Linked DNA regions of Arabidopsis thaliana. The protein of the gene in region 1 interacts with the protein of each later gene in a biochemical or structural test. Each region holds a gene or a part of one and is shown on either strand. Other genes may lie near its edges.

Evidence for each region. The genes of interacting proteins can lie anywhere in the genome.
Region 2: of the proteins of TOC159 (region 1) and OST1, one has a biochemical effect on the other in vitro, tested with the Arabidopsis thaliana proteins (one study listed by BioGRID).
Region 3: the proteins of TOC159 (region 1) and GGR form a complex in vitro, tested with the Arabidopsis thaliana proteins (one study listed by BioGRID).

What each region holds. Positions count from the first base shown.
Region 1 is NC_003075.7:1,102,773-1,112,715, forward strand, and holds TOC159 (translocon at the outer envelope membrane of chloroplasts 159), read left to right. Parts: upstream 1-1,793; 5' UTR 1,794-1,993; coding exon 1,994-2,057; intron 2,058-2,140; coding exon 2,141-6,588; 3' UTR 6,589-6,927; exon of another isoform or gene 6,928-6,994; 3' UTR 6,995-7,031; exon of another isoform or gene 7,032-7,203; 3' UTR 7,204-7,365; intron 7,366-7,508; 3' UTR 7,509-7,593; exon of another isoform or gene 7,594-7,893; 3' UTR 7,894-7,900; coding exon of another isoform or gene 7,901-8,340; intron 8,341-8,413; 3' UTR 8,414-8,451; coding exon of another isoform or gene 8,452-8,500; 3' UTR 8,501-8,609; coding exon of another isoform or gene 8,610-8,759; 3' UTR 8,760-9,012; downstream 9,013-9,943. Other genes in the region: XT2 (UDP-xylosyltransferase 2), read left to right, coding at 199-573; GSTF2 (glutathione S-transferase PHI 2), read right to left, coding at 7,901-8,340, 8,452-8,500, 8,610-8,759; AT4G02530 (chloroplast thylakoid lumen protein), read right to left, coding at 9,563-9,672, 9,782-9,854. UniProt on the Arabidopsis thaliana protein: GTPase involved in protein precursor import into chloroplasts. Seems to recognize chloroplast-destined precursor proteins and regulate their presentation to the translocation channel through GTP hydrolysis. Required for chloroplast biogenesis.
Region 2 is NC_003075.7:16,269,248-16,276,582, reverse strand, and holds OST1 (Protein kinase superfamily protein), read right to left. Parts: upstream 4,839-7,335; 5' UTR 4,220-4,838; coding exon 4,049-4,219; intron 3,738-4,048; coding exon 3,663-3,737; intron 3,568-3,662; coding exon 3,466-3,567; intron 3,382-3,465; coding exon 3,328-3,381; intron 3,244-3,327; coding exon 3,151-3,243; intron 3,082-3,150; coding exon 2,989-3,081; intron 2,734-2,988; coding exon 2,629-2,733; intron 2,524-2,628; coding exon 2,425-2,523; intron 2,313-2,424; coding exon 2,114-2,312; coding exon of another isoform or gene 2,067-2,113; exon of another isoform or gene 2,024-2,066; coding exon 1,926-2,023; 3' UTR 1,758-1,925; downstream 1-1,757. Other genes in the region: AT4G33945 (ARM repeat superfamily protein), read right to left, coding at 6,069-6,192, 6,287-6,465, 6,684-6,791, 7,044-7,166, 7,253-7,335.
Region 3 is NC_003075.7:17,992,239-17,997,979, reverse strand, and holds GGR (geranylgeranyl reductase), read right to left. Parts: upstream 3,242-5,741; 5' UTR 3,132-3,241; coding exon 2,778-3,131; intron 2,633-2,777; coding exon 2,006-2,632; 3' UTR 1,758-2,005; downstream 1-1,757. Other genes in the region: IYO (RPAP1-like, carboxy-terminal protein), read right to left, coding at 3,431-3,610, 3,692-3,901, 3,992-5,741. UniProt on the Arabidopsis thaliana protein: Heterodimeric geranyl(geranyl)-diphosphate (GPP) synthase small subunit. The small subunit alone is inactive in vitro while the large subunit GGPPS1 catalyzes mainly the production of geranygeranyl-diphosphate in vitro.

The DNA.
Region 1 (9,943 bases):
CTCTTGAACATCAAAAATAACAATGTGAGTTGCTTTTTGTGGTTTATCATGTCTCTTGATCATCAAAAATGACAATGTGAGTTGCATCTTGTGGTTTCTGACATCTGTGTAAGGGTCTATTATTGAAGTAAACTCAAATCTTTGCTTGGTTTGGATTTTGTTGAGCTACTCATTTGAGCCACTGCATTGTTGTTATAGGTGTACCTAGAAAGTGGATACTATCTTCACGGTTACTGGGGGATTCTTGTGGACAGATATGAAGAAATGATAGAAAACTACCACCCGGGTCTAGGAGATCACAGATGGCCATTGGTGACTCACTTTGTCGGTTGCAAACCGTGTGGGAAATTTGGTGATTACCCGGTGGAACGGTGTCTAAAACAAATGGACAGAGCCTTTAACTTTGGAGATAACCAGATTCTGCAAATCTATGGTTTCACTCACAAATCTTTGGCTAGTCGTAAAGTCAAGAGAGTGCGGAACGAGACTAGCAATCCGTTGGAGATGAAAGACGAGCTCGGGTTGCTTCATCCGGCGTTTAAGGCGGTTAAGGTACAAACCAATCAAGTTTGAATCGGTTTTGCGTTTAGGATTTGTGTTATGTTTCTCGCTATATTTATGTCTTGTGTCTTTGCTTGTTGTTGTACTAAGATGGATGATAAAGTATTGTGCAGAGACATCAGTTAATTCTTTGGTTTTACTTTGTCTCTACGTCTAGAGTTCTATTACGAAATCAAAATGTTGTTTTTCTTCCTTTTTGTTCTTTGTAATCCATTAGAACTTGAGATTTTGTAGCTTCATGGATCAATAATCTGTGTTAATTCAAGAACTTTTTTTTAACCTGATTTCACATTCAACTAATTATTTACTTTTAGTATGCAAAATGTGAAAAAATCACATTGAGTTAGTATAGTTCTGAGATCATATTCACAAGTTTTGTGTAGTTTAGGAGTTTAATTCGAAAAACAAAATTTGGCATGTGGTCAGATTCTTTTGCAGTATGGGTTGTTGTATCTGAAATCTGAATGTCTTTAATTGATAATAAAATCATGTATACGGGCTATTATTAGGGGGAGGCCTTATAAAAGCCCATCTGAAAACTAAAATCACGGCCTAATATATGGAATCCGTGTTATACAAAAATCCAAGATAATTCGTAGATAATGGTGAGAAAATCGTTTGTGGCCAAGCAATTTCGGGTAGGGAGGATCAACAAAGATACAAAAAAGATTTCTTTCTTCTTTATAAAACCCAAATCTCAAAATGTTATCTCGTTTTTTATTTTAAATGTTTTATTTTATTTTGTTGTTGTGTGGTTTTTTTGGTTTTTAGTAAAGAGAAGATATAACAAAACCCTAATTCTCATGAGTTCAAAAACCCTAGATTTAGTGAGCCCATCAAAACATTTTCCATTGGGGAAGATTTTAACATTTGGAGAATTGTGCATAATAAAAACAAAATATTAAACAGTAAATACTTTCCAAAAAGTGACTAAAATATTCTAAATTTACTCAACAAAAATTGAAAATTCTTGACAAAAAAATTACTGTTTTTTAAAATGATACAATGTTTTTCAAATTTTAACCACAAATGATTATTGTACTTCTTCCTCAAATAAAAAAAGAAACTCTATATATTTTGGCTTGAGCCAATGAAGCGACACAGTTTAAAGCGTAGCACAAAAGAGAGCCCTCTTGGAAACTTCACCAACATAGAAGCGAGGGTAATTCGGTAATTTCATCATCATCCTCAAAACACAAACTGAGAAGATAAAATCCCAAGGCAAAGAAGAAAAACGAAGAGTCATTTTTTGTTCGCCGAGTGACCTTATCTCTCCCAATTCTCTCTTCTTCAAAAGAGAGAGAGCAGCCAAATTCTCAATCATAAAAACCTTCACACAAAAAAGGGTAAATTCCTTTAAACCCTATCTATCTATCGCTATCTCCTTCCTCCACAAGTTTGGCGGAGAAAGAGTCTCAGTAGCAAAGCGGAAATGGACTCAAAGTCGGTTACTCCAGAACCAACCAACCCCTTCTACGCTTCTTCGGGGCAATCAGGTTTTTCTTCTTTCTCGTTTATATCTTCTTTAATCTGCGTTTTTGGGAATAGGGTTTTAATCGGAAGGATATTTTGTTATCAGGAAAAACCTATGCTTCTGTTGTCGCCGCCGCTGCTGCTGCAGCCGCCGATAAGGAGGATGGTGGTGCTGTGAGTAGTGCCAAGGAGTTGGATTCCTCATCGGAGGCTGTGTCTGGTAATTCGGATAAGGTTGGAGCTGATGATTTATCTGACTCCGAGAAGGAGAAGCCGAATTTGGTGGGTGATGGGAAGGTTTCCGACGAGGTGGATGGTTCTTTAAAGGAGGATTCTACTACTCCTGAGGCTACTCCGAAGCCTGAGGTGGTTTCTGGTGAGACAATTGGTGTAGATGATGTTTCATCGTTATCTCCGAAGCCGGAGGCTGTTTCTGATGGTGTAGGGGTTGTGGAGGAGAATAAGAAGGTTAAGGAGGACGTGGAGGATATTAAAGACGATGGTGAGAGTAAGATTGAAAATGGGAGTGTTGATGTTGATGTGAAACAGGCTTCCACAGATGGGGAGAGTGAGAGTAAAGTGAAGGATGTGGAAGAAGAAGATGTTGGAACAAAAAAAGATGATGAGGGGGAGAGTGAGTTGGGTGGAAAAGTTGATGTTGACGATAAAAGTGATAATGTTATTGAAGAAGAGGGTGTGGAGTTAACTGATAAAGGAGACGTCATTGTGAACTCGTCCCCTGTAGAATCAGTGCATGTTGATGTGGCAAAACCAGGGGTGGTTGTTGTAGGAGACGCAGAGGGAAGTGAGGAGTTGAAGATTAATGCTGATGCTGAAACTCTTGAAGTGGCTAATAAGTTTGATCAAATTGGGGATGATGATAGTGGTGAATTTGAACCTGTGTCTGACAAGGCCATTGAGGAGGTAGAAGAAAAATTTACTAGCGAATCAGACTCTATTGCAGACTCCTCTAAGTTAGAATCTGTGGATACCAGTGCTGTAGAGCCAGAGGTTGTAGCTGCCGAGAGTGGGAGTGAACCAAAGGATGTGGAAAAAGCCAACGGATTGGAGAAGGGTATGACTTATGCTGAAGTAATCAAGGCAGCTAGTGCAGTAGCTGACAATGGAACCAAAGAGGAGGAGAGTGTGCTCGGTGGCATAGTCGATGATGCAGAAGAAGGTGTTAAGTTAAACAACAAAGGAGACTTTGTGGTGGACTCATCTGCTATTGAAGCTGTGAATGTAGATGTGGCAAAGCCAGGGGTTGTTGTTGTTGGAGACGTAGAGGTGAGTGAGGTGCTGGAAACTGATGGCAACATCCCTGATGTGCATAATAAGTTTGATCCAATTGGCCAAGGTGAAGGTGGTGAAGTTGAACTTGAATCCGATAAAGCCACAGAGGAGGGAGGAGGAAAGTTGGTTAGTGAAGGAGACTCTATGGTTGACTCCTCTGTGGTGGACTCTGTTGATGCTGATATCAATGTTGCAGAGCCAGGGGTTGTGGTTGTCGGGGCGGCTAAGGAGGCTGTAATTAAGGAAGATGATAAAGATGATGAGGTTGACAAGACCATCTCAAATATTGAGGAACCTGATGACCTGACTGCTGCATATGATGGAAATTTTGAATTGGCTGTTAAGGAAATATCAGAGGCTGCCAAAGTAGAGCCAGACGAACCAAAAGTAGGTGTGGAAGTAGAAGAATTGCCTGTTTCTGAAAGTTTAAAAGTGGGTTCAGTTGATGCAGAAGAGGATTCAATTCCTGCAGCTGAGTCACAGTTTGAGGTTCGGAAAGTTGTCGAAGGGGACAGTGCTGAAGAGGATGAAAACAAGCTCCCAGTCGAAGACATTGTTTCTTCTCGTGAGTTTAGCTTTGGAGGCAAGGAAGTGGACCAGGAACCTTCTGGCGAAGGTGTTACCAGGGTTGATGGGTCTGAAAGTGAAGAAGAAACTGAAGAGATGATATTTGGGAGTTCTGAAGCTGCAAAACAGTTCTTAGCAGAGTTGGAAAAGGCTTCTTCTGGTATAGAGGCACATTCTGATGAAGCAAACATTTCTAACAATATGTCAGATAGGATTGATGGCCAGATTGTCACCGATTCTGACGAGGATGTAGACACAGAGGATGAAGGTGAGGAGAAAATGTTTGATACTGCAGCTTTGGCTGCGCTTTTGAAGGCAGCCACTGGTGGTGGAAGTTCAGAAGGTGGCAATTTTACCATAACATCTCAGGATGGCACGAAGCTTTTCTCTATGGATCGACCTGCTGGTTTGAGTTCATCGTTAAGGCCCTTGAAGCCTGCAGCAGCTCCACGTGCAAACCGTTCCAACATCTTTTCCAATTCTAATGTCACAATGGCAGATGAGACTGAGATTAACTTGAGCGAGGAAGAGAAACAGAAATTAGAAAAGTTGCAAAGCCTCCGTGTGAAGTTTTTGCGGCTTTTGCAAAGGTTGGGTCATTCGGCAGAAGATTCAATTGCAGCGCAGGTTCTTTACCGTCTTGCACTACTTGCTGGGAGACAAGCAGGGCAGTTATTCAGTCTTGATGCTGCAAAGAAGAAGGCTGTGGAGTCTGAGGCTGAGGGCAACGAAGAATTGATCTTCTCCCTAAACATACTGGTCCTTGGAAAAGCCGGGGTGGGAAAAAGTGCTACTATAAATTCCATTTTGGGAAACCAGATTGCGTCCATTGATGCTTTTGGGCTCTCAACCACTTCGGTTAGAGAAATTTCTGGAACGGTGAATGGTGTCAAGATTACCTTTATTGATACTCCGGGTTTGAAGTCTGCTGCGATGGATCAAAGTACAAATGCAAAAATGTTGTCCTCTGTAAAGAAGGTAATGAAGAAGTGTCCCCCTGATATTGTACTATATGTAGATCGTCTTGACACCCAGACCAGGGACTTGAACAATTTGCCCTTGCTAAGGACGATTACTGCTTCTCTTGGTACATCCATATGGAAAAACGCTATAGTGACATTGACCCATGCGGCTTCTGCCCCTCCTGATGGCCCATCTGGCACCCCATTGAGCTATGATGTGTTTGTAGCGCAGTGCTCACATATTGTGCAACAGTCTATAGGACAGGCTGTTGGAGATCTACGCTTGATGAATCCAAGTCTGATGAATCCAGTTTCACTTGTTGAGAATCACCCCTTGTGTAGGAAGAACCGGGAGGGAGTGAAGGTTCTCCCGAATGGCCAAACTTGGAGATCTCAGCTGTTGCTATTGTGTTACTCCCTGAAGGTTTTGTCAGAAACAAATTCTCTATTGAGGCCTCAAGAACCATTGGACCATCGTAAAGTATTTGGTTTCCGAGTTAGATCCCCGCCTCTCCCTTACTTGTTGTCTTGGCTGTTGCAGTCCCGTGCACATCCTAAGCTCCCTGGAGACCAAGGTGGTGATAGTGTTGACTCTGATATCGAAATTGATGATGTGTCTGATTCTGAGCAGGAAGATGGGGAAGATGATGAGTATGACCAGCTGCCACCATTTAAGCCTCTTCGAAAAACCCAACTTGCAAAGCTCTCAAATGAACAGAGAAAGGCATATTTCGAGGAGTATGATTACCGTGTAAAGCTCCTGCAGAAGAAGCAATGGAGAGAGGAATTAAAGAGGATGAAAGAAATGAAGAAAAACGGGAAGAAGCTGGGTGAAAGTGAGTTTGGTTATCCGGGAGAAGAAGATGATCCAGAAAACGGGGCTCCAGCTGCAGTGCCAGTTCCATTACCCGATATGGTTTTGCCACCTTCATTTGATAGTGATAACTCAGCTTACCGATACCGATATCTGGAACCCACTTCACAACTCCTAACCAGGCCAGTGTTGGATACCCATGGTTGGGACCATGACTGTGGATATGACGGCGTCAATGCAGAACACAGTCTTGCTCTAGCTAGCCGGTTCCCTGCCACAGCTACTGTCCAAGTCACCAAGGACAAGAAAGAGTTCAACATTCATCTGGACTCCTCTGTGTCTGCTAAGCACGGGGAGAATGGATCCACCATGGCAGGGTTCGATATTCAGAATGTAGGCAAGCAGCTGGCATATGTGGTCAGAGGAGAAACCAAATTCAAGAATTTGAGGAAGAACAAGACAACTGTTGGAGGGTCAGTGACATTCTTGGGAGAGAACATCGCCACTGGGGTCAAACTCGAGGACCAAATAGCACTGGGGAAAAGGTTGGTGCTTGTGGGCAGCACTGGGACAATGCGATCACAGGGAGATTCGGCCTATGGTGCGAACCTCGAGGTCAGGCTTAGGGAAGCTGATTTCCCAATTGGACAGGACCAATCTTCTTTTGGGCTGTCTCTGGTAAAGTGGAGAGGCGATTTAGCCCTTGGAGCCAATCTCCAATCTCAAGTCTCTGTTGGAAGGAACTCAAAGATTGCGCTTCGTGCAGGACTTAACAACAAGATGAGCGGACAGATCACAGTCAGAACCAGCAGCTCGGATCAGTTGCAAATCGCTCTCACAGCCATTCTTCCAATTGCCATGTCCATCTACAAGAGCATTCGACCCGAAGCGACGAACGACAAGTACAGCATGTACTAAATATGCTGATGAATGCTGCAGAATGATCTTTTCTTTTATTACTGGTTTTTAGTTCATGTTTTTCCCCCACTTTAATAAAAACTTTGTTGAAGTTTATCAAAGTTGTATTTTGGTTCTGTTGAGAGGTTCCCATCGGATTTAATTTATCATGTATCAGTAATTCTTCACTTTCATTAGCCCTTCTCAGCTTCTCTTGCTGTTCTTCAGATAATGGAATCTAGTTCAGTCTTCTTTTGGTCTACGTCTCATGCTAATGATGTTGCTTGGTTTGAGTTTGCTAATTTGTTACTAAATTTCTGCAGAAGATACAAATCACTCGGTGAAGAATCTTTAAAGCAGGTGCGTAGCCTGTAACTGTTGATAAGATTTTGTACTAGAACCCTCATCTCATTGTGTTCTTCACCAGGATCTTACTGTTCTTCCTTGGTCCCTTGAAGGCAATGGTATGTTTTTTATAAAAATGCTTTGTAATAGATTTTCATTCTTATATAATATCTGGAAACTATTGGAGTATCGTGGTGAAGTAAACTTGATGATACTAGCAGACAAAACTCCGAATAAAGGATATTTCTTGGTGGACTTAATCTTTATGGTTTATGTGAATATTTGATGTAGCAAAGCCTCTAACTTAAAGGATGACCAGAGTCTGCAAATATATGGCTGGCTTTACTCGCAATTCTTTGGGTAGCCACAAAGTCATCAGAGTAATGAGACGAGCAAACAGTTGGAGATAAACACTAGGTGGACTTTCTTCACCCTGCGTTTACGGCGGTCAAGGTACAAAATTGATGGTGAAAAACACAAACTTGCTGCTCTAACCGTTTCTGTTATTTATAGAGAGGTGAATAGGTCCAGAAATCTGATGTGTTTTGTTTTGTCTGATTTGAAGCTTACGTCTATATTTTACTTGTCATTTTCAGACATGACAAAGCAAGGAAACTTTAAGGATAAGAACGTTCAAAGTCTTCTTAAGTCAACTTCTTTCGCCAGGAGAAACGTTCCAAAGTAAGATTTCCACCAGACTAAAGTCCTTACATACTATTCTCACTAGTCAGTATCTCCATAGTTAAGACATCGCAATCTTTGCATTAGTTAACTAATTGATTTATTTTAGAATAGCTTGAAGATTAGATAAATAGTTTTTGCCAAAGATACTCTCAAGAGCATACACACACACTCACATAACTGAAAGAAAACAGAGGATACAACAGAAAGAAAGTACTGAGAAATTGGGCAATGAGAAAGCCGCTTATTTAATCTTAGCATTATTACTGTGACTGAAGCAAAACCATATTTTCCTTTTAGAAATTTCTCACTGAACCTTCTCGGAAGCTGGCCTCTTGGTGATTTCAGCCACCCACTCATTGACACGTGGACGCTCGGTGAAGAGCTTCTTGGTGGGAGTTCCGAGCAGGTATTGAATCGCGGGAATGTGGTGAAGATCAGTCAAAGTGAAAGTTTCACCAGCCAAATACTTGAACTCCTTGAGCCTAGCCTCGTAGACATCAAGGACCTTGGCTAACTTAGCCTCCTCTTCTGCAACAACGGCTTCGTCTGTGGTCAAGCCGTAGATGGACTTGAATATTTGTTCAAAAGCAAGCTTTGAAGCCACTGGGTCGAACTGGTGATCTTCTACTTGCATTCCAATGGCCATGATTGCGTACTGAGATATGTTCTTGGAGTCGGTTTGGAGAAGGTTGGTTCCTTGGTTTTCATATCGGTGAGCTATGTACTGAGTAATCGCTCTTGATTCTACACAAAATAAAAATAAAAAAATCCAATTCTTATTAGTGATTTTGCTCTCTAATGGCTTTTGTCAACTCAGAGTTGAGATTGAAGATGATGCATGGAAAAGGTTCATACCGAAGAGCTTGAGGTCTCCATCTTCAAAGGCTGGAACCTGACCAAAAGGCTGAAGAGGAAAGAAGTTCAAACACAAAACATTTGAGATGCAGGCCAGATACATGAAAACAGTTGGTCTCTTGTCTTACAACAACACATAGATATATAGATATACTTACGTTGCGGGAGAGGAAAGGCTCCTTCTTGTGCTCACCGTCTTTGAGTTCGACATGAACGAGCTCAAAGTCGAGGTTTTTCTCGTGGAGGGCGATGAGGACTCTCCTGGTGGCAATGGAAGCTGGGTGTCCGAAAACTTTGATACCTGCCATTGATTTGGGTTACTAAGAAACTCTTTGAAGACTGAGAAAAAAGAGAGAAAAGAGGAAGAAATGTGATGTTTGATGTTGAAGGTGAAGGTGATGAAATAAGACACAAGTAATGAAGGTATTTATACAGAAGCATTTCTACTTTCTCATTAATGTTTAATATTATCTAACAGATAATAATGCCTCTACAAGGCCATCGCAACCAATATTGACTAGTCTTCTTCTTCTGGGAGGATTTTTCAAAGCTGAATTGGACTGTTTAACGTTTAAATATTTGCTTTTACATTGGTTATGTAATGGTTTTTAATAAAGTATTCAATGTATCAGAGAAAAGATCATAACTAGTGCGTAGTAATAGGCCAAATGACTCAAACTTCCACCTACTAGCTTCATCTAGTAGCTTTCCCCCTTCTTGGTTATGACTGGTTCGGTTTTGTTTCGGGGATTTTGTGATGCTCTATATCTGTATGCCTTCTCAAGTTAAAAGGGTTTCTCTTAATGTGAGATTCAATAGAACAAAGGTTTACTGATCAGATCTTTTTGAATTAGTTTCAGATAAATAACCAAAGAAGTTTTGGTATGGTTTCTTGGTTCCTTTTGGTGTGGTGGAATTCGATGGAAAAATCAACCTTGTTGATATTGATGCATAGTAAGTATGAACAAAATGTATAAAGGTAAATAATAACCAAAGAAGTTAAGAAAGTGAATGATGATTATTCAAAGGATTATTTGGAGAAAAAAAAGACCCTCTTTGACAAATCTGTTGGAAAATACAAAAAAAGAGTAAAGAATTTGTAGCCAGCCTATCACAGTCCCTTAAGCTGTTCCAAAAGACCTGTCAAAGTAGTCCATTTCTCAAATGCACCAGCTGATGAAACGAAAGCGAGCTTCGATGACTCTATATCGTTCTTGTTCACTGCGAAAAAAGGAATCAAAACCACATTTCAAAGAGATCACTGCAATGTTTTAATGACAATTTTGATTCTTGTGAATGAAAAAGTTAAGTACAAGTACAAGTACAAGACCTGATGTGATAAGAGAAGCCAATGATGAATTGAATGCTTCCACCTCTGTATTCTCTTCTGGGCTTGTACTCAACTGTTCCAAGAACACAAACAAGGACTTTTCAACAAACAGTAACATAAACATTAAAAAAAAGTCTACCTTATGTAAAGAGAGGGAGAGAC
Region 2 (7,335 bases), about 15 Mb from region 1:
TTAGAAAACAATCATCGTCTCAACTATATATAGGTTTTCGTCTCAACTATAAGAAATATTATCTCACCAAAAATATGATTACACTTGACTTAGCTTGAGTGAAATATACTTGTCAGACAAACTGGAAAGTTAAAGCCAAATTCAACTACTTTGAAAGGATATATTAGTTTAGGATTCGATTTAACATACCAAAATAAAAAGAATGTAACATGAACTGAATTAGGTCTACATTAGCTTGTCGAAAATCGTTTTCGTATGGAAACACTCACCAGCAAGACAAATGGTCGAATCCTCATAATAGAGATCCCTCCCCAGTCCCCACACTATGTCGAATAAGCCAATGTCACACCATAAATAATTAGTCATTTTCAAACTACTCTAGTCAATTATTTTTTTATCAAAAAAAACAAGTTAATAATGTACTTGATTGTTATGAATATCACCATCTGGATGCAGAAACTAACAAATAACAATCAGAATTTACTTGATTAAGTGTCGGAACGGAAATAATGAGCAACTCTGCAATGGCAAAAAAGGCTACCGTTGGACAAGTCTGACGGCAATGAGGAGATCATACTTGATGATTACTTTTATTTTAGTGACAAATCAATCTATCGGAAATTACAATGGATTTATATGATTATTTTGGTACAAGTTTTTATTTCAAATTTTTCTGTAAATCTTTTTCACATTGAGACAACAAAAATTATGCTTTCGCTAAATCCGACACATATTTGTCATAATTTTACCCAAAAAACTAAATTCCGTTGAAATTGTATAAAATTTCGTAGTGAAAGTATAAAAACATAAATAGAAACATAAACCACAACGGTCTTTGGAAATCTTGTCAAAATCGTTCATATCTCCTGTCTATCGGCCAAAGCCATATTGTGTCAGTAATATTTTTCCCAATCCAAAATAGAATTTATTTTAAAAAATACTAATAATGTTATTTATCCACTATGCCTATATCCAGAGTGAATAGGTAAAATAAATGGTACAAAATAGTTTGAAACTAAAAGAAAATAACGAAGATAAGAAGACAATAATGATATCAGTTGCTAAGGCAGACATATCTCATCTATAACTCAAAATCATTCACGTTGTGTTACAGTACAAGAGACACTGTCACATAGGTCGACCAACCATGCATGCTTCCATTTTCTTAATAAAAACGTTGCAAATTGTAACTGCTTGTTTTCTTCTTCCTTTTTTTAAAAAAATTAAAAACATTGAGTATTTTTTAAAGTAGGAATAATATTAATTTCAATGAACAAGAACAACTATCAAGTACTGGTTCATTATCAATTTATTATTCGAAAAATATTTAGAAAAGAAAAAAAACGAAGATGCGTGAATAAGCATCTTTTTTAATTTAAAGCGAATTACCGTACGTATGTCCTTCTGAACATATAACATGCATATTAAATTATTAATGAATGTGTTCCATCTACATTTATGCTGTTTTTGTATTTTTTGTGAAAATGGGAATATCATCTTATTTCCATATAGTTCAAGTCTTCAAGATATGCCCCATCTATTTACTTCAGTTTGATATTATCAAGTACCCACTTTAATCTGTATAGTACTACAGAATATCGATTTCTTTATCTTTTGCATAGCCTATATGTTGTTTAGTTGTCAACTTCTCCAAATTAGTTTAACAATTTTGTTTCTAGTATTATTAGAAAAACAAACAAAAAATACTAGAGAGAGTAGATAAAATACTGATTGATGAAAATGTTTTTTTTTTTTTTTTTCACTTTTGTTTAGAAATTTAGTCTTTTGCATATCAAAGATTCAAAGTGTACTCATTGAGACAAAGTTGGGCCAACTCAATAGCAAGCAAAACATCTTAATCTTATTCTTCAACATTTTTTGTTTGACATTTTTGTAGCAGAAACCATGCAAATAGATATATAGTATCACATTGCGTACACAATCTCTCCGCTACTGTCGATGTCAAGATCATCAAGGTCGCTCTCTAAGTCTTCCTCCATATCGTCATCTATGTCCAAGCTTCCTGTTTATCCATTAATGATAAGTTTTTCAAACATTGAGAAGCATTAAAAAAGACAAGAAATCGAAAAGTTTATGTTTTGTGTTGTCTCACCTGTGAGGTAATGGTTCAGATTCTGAGTGCCTGCAGGAGGAACAGTTGCTTCTGCAATGATCTGCATAATTTCTTCTATGCTTTGGCCCGGTTGATCCGATTCATCAAACTGAGTGGTCATCGTGTTATCGTTCATTAGATCTGCCGGTAGATTCTTTAGAAACCATTCATGGTTCCTTATTTCAGGAATTGATATCCTCTGCCAAGAAACCAACCAAGAGGGCCAAAATGCAAAGTTCTCTTTTCAGTCATACTATAAAGAAAATTCACAAATAAATCAACAAATGCAGCTTTCATGATCCTTCCTTTACCTTTGCAGGGTCAGCAACAAATATTCTGGAGATCAAATGGCGACATTCAGGAGATATGTGAACATAATCCGGAATAGCATACTGAACATTCAGGATTCTCTGAGCAAATATTTTCACAAGAGAACAGATAGTTTAGCTAGCAAGTAATAAAATCCATAATTACATTTTTCAACTATTGAAGCATGAAGAAAGTGAAAGGCTCACATGTATAGTTTTCCTGAAATTCTTTGGTTCCTCGGGATCTTCGAAAGGATATGCTCCAACCAGCATGACATACAGAGTAACCCCACAAGACCAAACATCTGCAACCTGAAAAAAAAGAAGAACATTAGGATGCATTTGACTAATTCAACCAAAACTCAAGAATTATCAGTTTACAAATCAGACTCTTAATAGCTTTCTTCACCAAAATTCTTGAAGAGCCAAGATTGTTTTATTTGTGTGAGCTTTCATCAAGAGAAAGCATGTTTCCCCTATCTATAATCAGAGGATAAAAATACAAAGATTGTTCTTTCTATAAGATATGGTTATCATACTAGTTTGGGAACTATGAAAATGGAGTACCTTTCCATCATATTCTTTCTTTAGTAAAACCTCAGGAGCGATGTAAGCAGGAGTTCCAACAGTTGATTTTGGTTGCGAATGTAACACTGATGACTGAAAAAGAAAACACAAAGCTTAGAGATACTAACTAACTCAGAGTTTCTGAAATGTTTTCAAAGATACCTTAGAATATCCGAAATCACATATCTTTAGACGAGGGGCCGGGCTACCATCTAATAACGTATTCTCGAGCTTTAAGTCTCGGTGACATACTTGCTACAACATAAAATTTAACTTCTTAAGTCAGCTGAATTTCACAGAGGATGAAGCATTGATTTGATAGAGAGCATTTTTCATTACCATAGCATGACAGTAACTAACTCCTGAAATGAGTTGCTGGAAGAAAAACCTCGCCTACATGATAGTAAACGATATATTAGCCTCAGCATTTTGAATCTTCGATTAATCATCAAAGCAAGAAAAAAAAGAGAGAACAACCTCGTCTTCGCTGAAGCGGCCTGCATTGCAGATTCGCTCGAAAAGTTCTCCTCCAGATGCATATTCCATAACAATGGCTAAATGGGTTGGTGTTAATATAACCTGAAGCAATCCTAAGGATTAAATTATAGAATTCCTTTTTTTTCCTGAAAATGTTAATAATAAGAAAACAGCTTAAAAGAGAGTTGAAAACAAACCTCTTTGAATCTAACGATATTGGGATGTCTTAAGGACCTGTGGTTGATTATCTCCCTTTTTACATTTTCATCTATCTGTACAAATACAAAAAGTCCCACCATTAATACCACGTTCCATAACAAAAGAAACACCTAGAGCCTTTAAAACAACACTATACAACATAAGTCATAAAGCAAAGCAGAGCAAATTTGGTCTTCCATAAAAATCAATCAATTTTGTAAATCTATAGGGTTAAACCATTCATAACCATAAAGTAACCAAACACACATCTCTCATTGGATGATGAACACACAAAAATGATTTCTTTTGAATTCAAGAACCTAGTGAATTGAAACATAAAATAAAATTGGACTAAGGAGAAAAAACAAGAAGAAAATAAACTGACCTTCTCACCTCTCTCGATATATTTAACAGCAACAAGCTCATTACTTTGCTTGTCTCTCATCAATCTCGCAACTCCAAAATTACCGGAGCCAATATCCTTGACGAGTTCATACCTATCACTATCGTGCATAATCGGCAAATCCATTGGACCACTCACTGCTGGTCGATCCATTTTCTCCCCCTCTTTCCTCTGTCTCTTTGCGACTTCAATCTCTGTGTCAAGAAGATTTCTTTTTTGGGAGACAATATCTAACGACACCAAGACATCAGAGGAAATGAACAACGGTGTGACGTGGATGAATTTGAGCCTTTAAGATGAGAAAAGGAGTATTGGGTGATCAAGTTATGGTTGTGAGAAAGAGACGTTTTCAGAGACCCGTGAAGTATCTAACCAACAACACAAGTGGGTTTCTTGAGATCCTTTTTGTTCCTTTGATCGCTCTCGATGAAGAAGAAGAAGAAGAAGGAAGGCTCGTGATCTTGAACTCTGTTTCTCTCTCTCTGTCTCTCTCTCTATCAGCTTTCCTTTTCTCTGTCAATATAAAAAGGAAACAGCTTTCTCTGTTCTGTTTAAACCACAGCTTGAAGTAAGCTATACAAAACAGAAAGATGAGAGAGATAGAAGAAGTTTTCGCTTTTTCTGTGAACTGTTGAATTGTGATTTGTCAAAGCATGGGAGATAGTTTGAAATGACGGATTTACCCTTTCTACTTACAACGTTCTGACAAACAATGGGGCCTGTAGTTTTTAGAAATGTTTTTTTTTACCGTGACTAGTATAGAAAATAATATTTTAATTAGTATAAACTTTCTTTTTATTGGCAAAGTATTAGTATAAACTATGTGATTTGTTACTCTTTATTTTTCAGTAAGTTTTATCTCTCCATAATATTATGCATTAATTTTTTCCGATTTATTATATGTCTTATTGTAAATAGTATAGCAAAAAATATGAAAATATTAATTGATTAAATTTATGCCTAGAACAGTTACTAAAAATATCTAAGTTTTCAAAAATATAGCACTAGAATGGTATGAGATTTAAAATAACAGATTTTGAATTGATTTTATATCCCAATTTAATTTAATCAAACACAGTGAAAAATGAAATAGAAATAATTTAAATTAACAATTAGTTTTTCTGTTAGTGGATCTATATATTAATATCGTAATATGTCCCTTACATATGTACATTTTTGGCTACTGGATTAATTTTGCCCCTTAAATATGTCCTGAAACGGAGCTGATGAAACATATACTCGCATTAAACAAGCTTATGGCTAATCATGGGAACCTCCATGTATTAATGACCACTAAAAAGATTTACTTTCTATTTCGGTATATAAAAAGGGTTTCCGCATTTAAAAACGGAAAATAAAAGAAAAACAAGTTACCACAAATGTCGAGATATTGTTGGCTAGCTTGTCAGATCTTCACCTAAAAGCTGAAACCGATAGAGTTGCACTCATCATCACTATAGCCCATCATTTTTACTATCTAAAGTTTTTGTTTATGCGCATCCACATGACGATTTTGCTGCAAACTTTTTTTTTAATCATCTTTTAAAAACATATATCCGTACTTAATATTCCCAATACACTCTTCTAGAGCTCGATCATTCCATGGACGTGAACATTTTGTCTTTGTTTCTCTTCCCTTTAGTCAAACAAACATTTTGTCCTTGTTTCAAACTAAAATCGATTTCTTCTAAATAAAGGAAATTCATTGACTAAACGAATGATTTTAGTGAATGAATGAAAATTTCTCATTGTGAAGCCTCTGTTTCTCTATTTACTTTTTTACTATTTAGAGTACCTTTCACCGAAATTTTCAATCAATTCCTTTCAATTTTACTACATGTTCAAGCATTCGAACAAAAGCAATCGTTGCAAAAAAGACTAGATCGGAATGCCTTCTACCCAAAAGAGAGAACTCAATGCAAACTGTTTATGAAATTTTTGAAAAAAAAAACTGGATTCATTCCGGTTGTTGCGAGTACCAACCAATGGAGAAAGATTGACCTTAGTTATTGTAGTTATCAAGGCCAAGGTCTCTCAGTGCATCAGTTGCAGCGGCTCTGCATGTCTCATTGTTGGCTTTAGCAGTTCTTATCAGCTTCTCGATTCCATTAGCAAGCAGAATAGTTCTGTAGTGTGCATGCAGACAGAACTTGATATTATAAAAGAGTTTGCGATATGTGCATATTGTTGGATGACAAGAATTGGAAACAGAGCAAAAACCTGTTCTCTGCACTTCTGACAGCAATGTTCCGTATCATGTTGCAAGCGTTTCTCTGCATTTGAGCAGCTACTGGGAACCTCTTCATTGCTTGGACCGCTAGATCACCAGCTCCAGCTTCTATAGCCTTGGCTGCGTGGTCTGGTGATCTCAGACAGATTATAGAGATTATCAACATCACCTGAACCAATCAAGTATATCTTGGATCAACCACAAGGATTATGCACTCAGACCCTAATGCTACAAGAAACATTCTTCACACGACATTACGTTCTATCTAGTGGAAAACTGCCAAAGACGTGACCTGTAGTCACAAGTATCTTCTCTAGACAGGAAGATTTAAAATTGCGCATGGGACATAGTGTCATAAGAGGGTTTTCGTTTGGTTTATATACTTACCTCTTGTATGACTAGAGGATCATCAGAGAATCGTAGTGCGAGTGTGATTAGCTTGTCCAGACCTTGCTTCTCAACTATGGTACTCTTGTTAGAGTCACTTCCTGCCAACTAGAGATCAAAATACAAATTTTAGATAAACATTTATCATGCGTGGTTACAATGCTAATCTAAATCAGTAATAGGCTTTGGAAAAGCTTAAAATTTGAGAACATGCATTTATTAGAAGCACATGAACATAAGCTACTCCTTAATATGGTGCGGAAAATACTTGAAAGCCTGAGTTTTAAAGAAGGATTTTGAATAACCAAAGGCAATGAAGACAACAGAGGCAGCCTGCAGGGCATATTAGAAGCTACTCACCTTAGACAACAGGGAACAACATGTCTTAGCAGCAGTTTTGTTGCCTTGCTCACCGCTATCATCAATACACCGAAGAAGTGTATCTATTCCACCGGATTCAGCAATAGATTTACATATTTCATCCTGTTTACAGCAAAACCAGATGAAGAACTTGCAAGAACCTAACCAGATAAATGTTATCACACAGAGATTTCAACTAGGAGACTTACATTGACAGCAATTGCTTTTAACGCAGTACTTGCTGACACCAAACTATCAGAGCCAATCCCTGCCTGTAATGCTTCAGTGAGGG
Region 3 (5,741 bases), about 17 Mb from region 1:
CGCCCATAATTTTATTAGTATTATAAAAAAAAACATAAGATATATAGTCAAGTTACTAATAAGTAGTATAGAGAGGTATTTGGTCCCAATTGACCGATGATGTGGCGGCACATGGCTCCATTTTTTAGCCCACGTGGATTTTTGCCCTTTTACTCTCACCAAAGGTCACAAACTGGGACGGCCAGGTAAGCGGCGAGTTGTCGCCGTTAAAGTTTGCTGCAATCCATCCATCGACACTCCCATTATATTTATTTCTCCCTTCTTTCTCACATCGGTCATTTCTTCACATCACTAATGCCACGTAAAAACAAAACACTAATTTCGTAAATCAGTATTTCAATACATCCTAGTTTATTTACATCAACAATTAACAAGTACTGGTCTATAGTATGGTTGCGTGCCATGTTTATTTATATGTATCATATTCATATCATGAAGCAATATACTATGTTATTACATGTGTTTATTAATTTATTTATTCCCCGTTCCAAGTACCAAGATATATTAAAGATTCAACCACTAAACGCAATGTCAGATGATCACTTTGATAATATTATCACCAAATAATACCCATATTTTAACAAGGTTTTATTATTGACATGATAAACCCTAATGACCCAATGACACACACACCGTCGGTCAAGGATCATGCTAACGGATACGGCCAATGTTAGAGAAACACTTAAATAAGTTTTTTGTTTGTTATAAATTATCTTGCATGAGCCAGACTTAATTATATATGTAGTTTACTAATTAGTATGATTACACGATCCATTGATTGATTATGAAAATTTAAACAAATGTGTAAAAGAGTTTAACAGATTCATTGAATCGGGACATCAATTCCCGATGGTGTCCATTGTCCCGATATATAGTTGTAAGTCTACACGTTAATTCATTGAATCGGGACATCAATTTCTGATGGTGTCCATATTGTCCCGATAATATAGTTGTAATAAGCCTACACATTTTCAACTGCATTAATTGAATTTCTAAAACATATAAAGGTATCACTTGATGTAATTCAGCTAGCAACTGCTTATTCAACTAAAGCTTTAGATTTAATGAAGCGGTGAACGAAAATAACATGTTAGTTGTCGAAAATATCCGATTGAACACGTACAGAAAATACTTGAAACAACTTATTCGTTCAAAAGAGTAACAAAGATGTGCTCTGCATAATGCATATATTAGTCCCACTTAAAACAATGATATAATTCACTTATTCAGCATGTTGATATAAAGAATGGGAATATGGGATTAGCTAGTTTATACAAACATTAGGTAGATAAGTTCAGAAATAATATCATGATGAAAAAGTAAGCAACCCAAATATGGATTGGCACAAATATAATTCATTTAGTCCAATAAACATGTTGTGTACGCAAACTCGGATTATTCAATCCTCGTATGATAGCCAAATTAAGTGTGATTATAATCCGAAATCCGAATGAAAGAGACTGAAGATATTTATTTCTTGTTTGAAAGAAAATATTAAACGTGGATATATGTATATAGTATAGCAAATGATGTAGATATATTGGATAAGATGGCCAACGATTAATAGTGGAAAGAGTTGTTAAAAGCATAGACTTGGCTTAGGTCTTCATTTAGAACTATACTAATTGTCGCATTCGCAATTATCTTGGAGGAAATGTACTCGCATGTTGTGAAACGTCTTTTTTTTTTTGGGGGGGGGGGGGGTGATAAAACACTTATTCAAACACTAAACAATTCAACTAGTCTAAAAGTTGGGAATTTTGGTCAAAATAAATAAATAAATACATACATAGTAGATTGCTATAAATTTGGTTAAAAGTACATGTAGTAACTAAATGATTTTGACATGGCCGACACAAAAAAAAAACAATGATAATGACAGGTGGTAGCGAAGATGAATGGTCAAGCGAAGAAGCTCTGGGCTAAAAATGAACGATACACAGTCCATTACAGGGCCTAATTTCGTATAGCGAAGGAAGGCCCAAATGTAAAAGAGGGCCCAAAATCAGAGGGGAAGAAGAAAATGTCGATGAGCAGCGTAGTCAACGAAGGTGTAGAGAGGAACAAGTGTGTCTCCTCCTCCATACTTGTTGTCAAACACTTGAAGCTCCTTCTTCGCCTTCTCCTTGAGCTCTTCCGCCATTTCCATCATTCCCTTCTCTGCTCCACCATCATAGCTCTTCTTCTTGTCCTCGGTGATGTCATCGACCACCTGATACAGCATCCCGACGGCTCTCCCGTACCTTCGGAGACTCTGGAGCTCATCCTCAGTGGCACCGCCCAATAGGCCACCGCACACGGCAGAGCATTCACCCATGGCTCCGAATTTCTTCTCCTGAACAAAGGAAAGAGGAAAGGGACCTCCTTCAAGGTCGACGTACTGGCCTGCAGCCATACCAGTGGAGCCGACAGTGCGGGCAATCTCAGTGATGAGTCTGAGGATGGTGGCTCGGGGAACAAGGTCAGGAGGCGTGTGGGAGACAATGTGCTGGAAGGCGAGTGGGAAGAGGGCGTCACCGGCGAGAATGGCCATGCCAGAGCCGTAGACAGTGTGGTTAGATGGCTTTCCTCTGCGCACAGGATCGTCGTCCATACAGGGGAGGTCGTCGTGTATCAACGAAGCCGCGTGCACCTGATTCATTCCATTATTAGATACAACACACACATCTCTCAACAACAACAACAAAGACTTTCTATTTCTTCTTCTTACTCACTCATATCAAACACTAACGGCGAAATTGAGATTACAAGGCGAGAGAGAGTGGAATCTATCTCACCATTTCTAGGGCACAGGCGGTGGGGAAAGCGGCGAGGCGATCGCCACCGAAGAGCTCGCAGGCCGCCACACACATCACAGGAGGGGCACGCTTGGCGCCTTGTGCGAGTACAGAGTATCTCATAGCCTCGTAGATCCCCGCAGGGTGCTTGACCGGTATGGCCTCATCCAGCTTCTGGTTGATCTCGGTGATCAGAGTCGTCCAATACGTCCTCAGATCGAAGTTCAACGACCCCGGGGCAGATGAGGATGAAGATCGGATTGCAGCGGGAGAGAGTTTCATAGGAAGAGTGTGGGGTTTCTCCGGAAGAGAGCAGAAGCTGCTTAATGGGATCGCTGAACCACTAAACAACATCGCCTATGAGGATGATCTATCCTTGTTGTGTTTGAGATAATGATAATTTAGTAAAATTGGGTTCAGCCAAACTCTCTTGATAGGAAGTGCCAATATATGATTGATTTCTAAGACAGACACGTCGCTTTCAAAATGTCAGTCAAGTTTTTTAATTGAACTTTGTCAGAAATTGGAAAAATCCAAAATCTTACAAGAACAGAAGAAGAACATCGATTTTTAATTACACAGCTTTTCATCTGTAAGAGAACCTCAAAACAGAGAAAGAAACACACAGACTTTCTTTCCTCTCATTCTCTCGTTCACCTTCTTCCACAGAGAGCGGCTGATTTCAGCTTCTCCAGTTCCAAGAGGAGGGTGGAGTTCCCTTCGCAACCCTCTTTCAACACCTCCATTCTTTTCTCTGTCTCCGCTGCTATCACTTCTTCTTCCATGGCGTTCGCAGACCCTTTCTTATACCGCAGGAGATCTAACATCATCCCCTGAAACATTATTTCCACGTTTCATTATCATCCTCAGTCCCCAGAATGACATTGAACAAGAGATGAGGGATTTCAAGTTACCTCACGATGCCGCTTTCTTGATAAATCCCTGACAAGAGTCTTGACAATCTTATTCCGCAGGGATACTTTATCCTTGGCTTGGTTGCAAAAGACTAAAGATGAAAAGTGATGCACAACCAGCGTATAGGCTACTGATCCACGCGTCGCAGCTCTGTCCAATGCCCCACAAGTCCATGACTTCAGGTAGGCCTCAAGGACGGCCTCATTTTCCTGCAATATCAATTCACCATTTTATCTTAGTTGGATGCTCAAGATGCCATTATTCACCACTATCAACATTTTATTATTTTTGTAAATTACCTCAACAGGTTCGAGGTAACCATCCGCTTCTCCCAAGCACTTGTCTAGACTCGGCAGAAGCTCGAGAACACGGGCATTGGAGAGCACTGTCCATGCCGAAAGCCGAACAGAGTGTTCCACGCATTGATGCAGGTAAACCGAGACCTGCCGGCCATACACTACATCACCATATGACACCGCAGCATACTGCTCCACCACCATCTCCAGAAAAGTAGAGTAGTTCTCATGAATGTCTGACTTGAACCTCAGAAGCTCAGTGTCACGGTGATTTAGTCTCGCTTCATCAAGAAACTGCCCATAAAGCTCCTGCAGATAATTGTACAAGTTCCTAGTGTTCTTGTCTTCGATGATGTCCATTCCAACAAGCAATACGGTAGACAAAGCGTGAAACTTCCAAACCAACGGTACACTCACAACAGGAGAGGGAAGCGATCCAAAACCAGACGATGACTCAAGTCCTGCAAGAAAGAAAACTCCAGCTTTTGCAACTTCAAGCAACTCTGTGGATTCTGGTGGCCCTGTTGAGGTTTTACCACTGTGGACTGCTGAGATGGCGCTGAGAAACCAGTGTGGAGGTAGGGGCATTCTCTGGTGAGCCCACTCTATGGTCGAGGAGTCTGATTTTTTATCCTGAGTTGAACTATTTGACATTTCACCGTCCTCATGAATAGTCTCCAGACCAACTGTGCCCTTCCTTACCCCACTGACCCCTTCCTCGGCTATCGATCTTCCCTTTTGCTGTAACCATCTATGTCTGAAGTGAGAAGCAAGCATACTGCTCATACGATGATAGTCCCCTTCGCTGCATTCCCATTCAAACGATATGTTTTTTTTGTTTGACTTGATACAGCAGGCCAGGTGTTCTAAAGCATGCGGTCTAAGGACATATTCAAAGGCTCTTTCCACGAGTAAATAATCCCTTGGACCTGCAATCAAACACATAGCTAAAGCGGAGTTTACTTTATCCATAAAGCCAACAGATCCCTGATCATTCTGCGAGTCGCTCAGAGAGATGTTAAGAAAGAGACTCAGAAGACCGGCACCAGCCTGTGCCAACAGAACTCTGGTTGACCAAAACCCACCACCGCTAGCTCCCCAACCAAGTCCAACGCCGGGGGCCAATCCGCCTCGTTTATGTAGCTCAATTGATTGCACGATGGGCCATTCTGATGAAACAGAATCTCTAAAAGAGCACGACACAGATGTTAGCTCAGCCAGAGACTCTGCCAGTATCCCATTTGCAAGCACAGATTCATCTCCAGTGGAAATACTTACCTGATGCGGAGCTTTCATCTTGGATCTAGCAGATTCTATCAGATTTTGGATGGACACGATAGTCCGTGTTAACCCATGAAGACAATTCACAGAAGCTAATGCTAGTTCGTCATCTTGAGATCGTTCTCTTAGAAAACACAAATACTCCATAAAAGAGGAACACCTGGAAGAGTCTTTTCCAAACCTACTTACGTCTGCAACAGAAAAACTAAGAAGCTTGTGCTTGATAATGGCAAGGCCAATCTTTGGAACAAACTCCGGTAGCCATGGTAGAGGTTCTTCCTCTCCCTCCGCAGAGATTTTCTCAAGGACTTTGGAAATTGTACGCATGACACCTGAATACAACCACAACAGAGTAGTAGTTGATACAGAGACACTTTCGATTCCTTTCTCCCACTTGAGTAATTGCGGGGCCAATGTTATCCAACTCAGTGCTGAATCAATCATAGGGCTAACATAGCTCCAGTCCCATGTC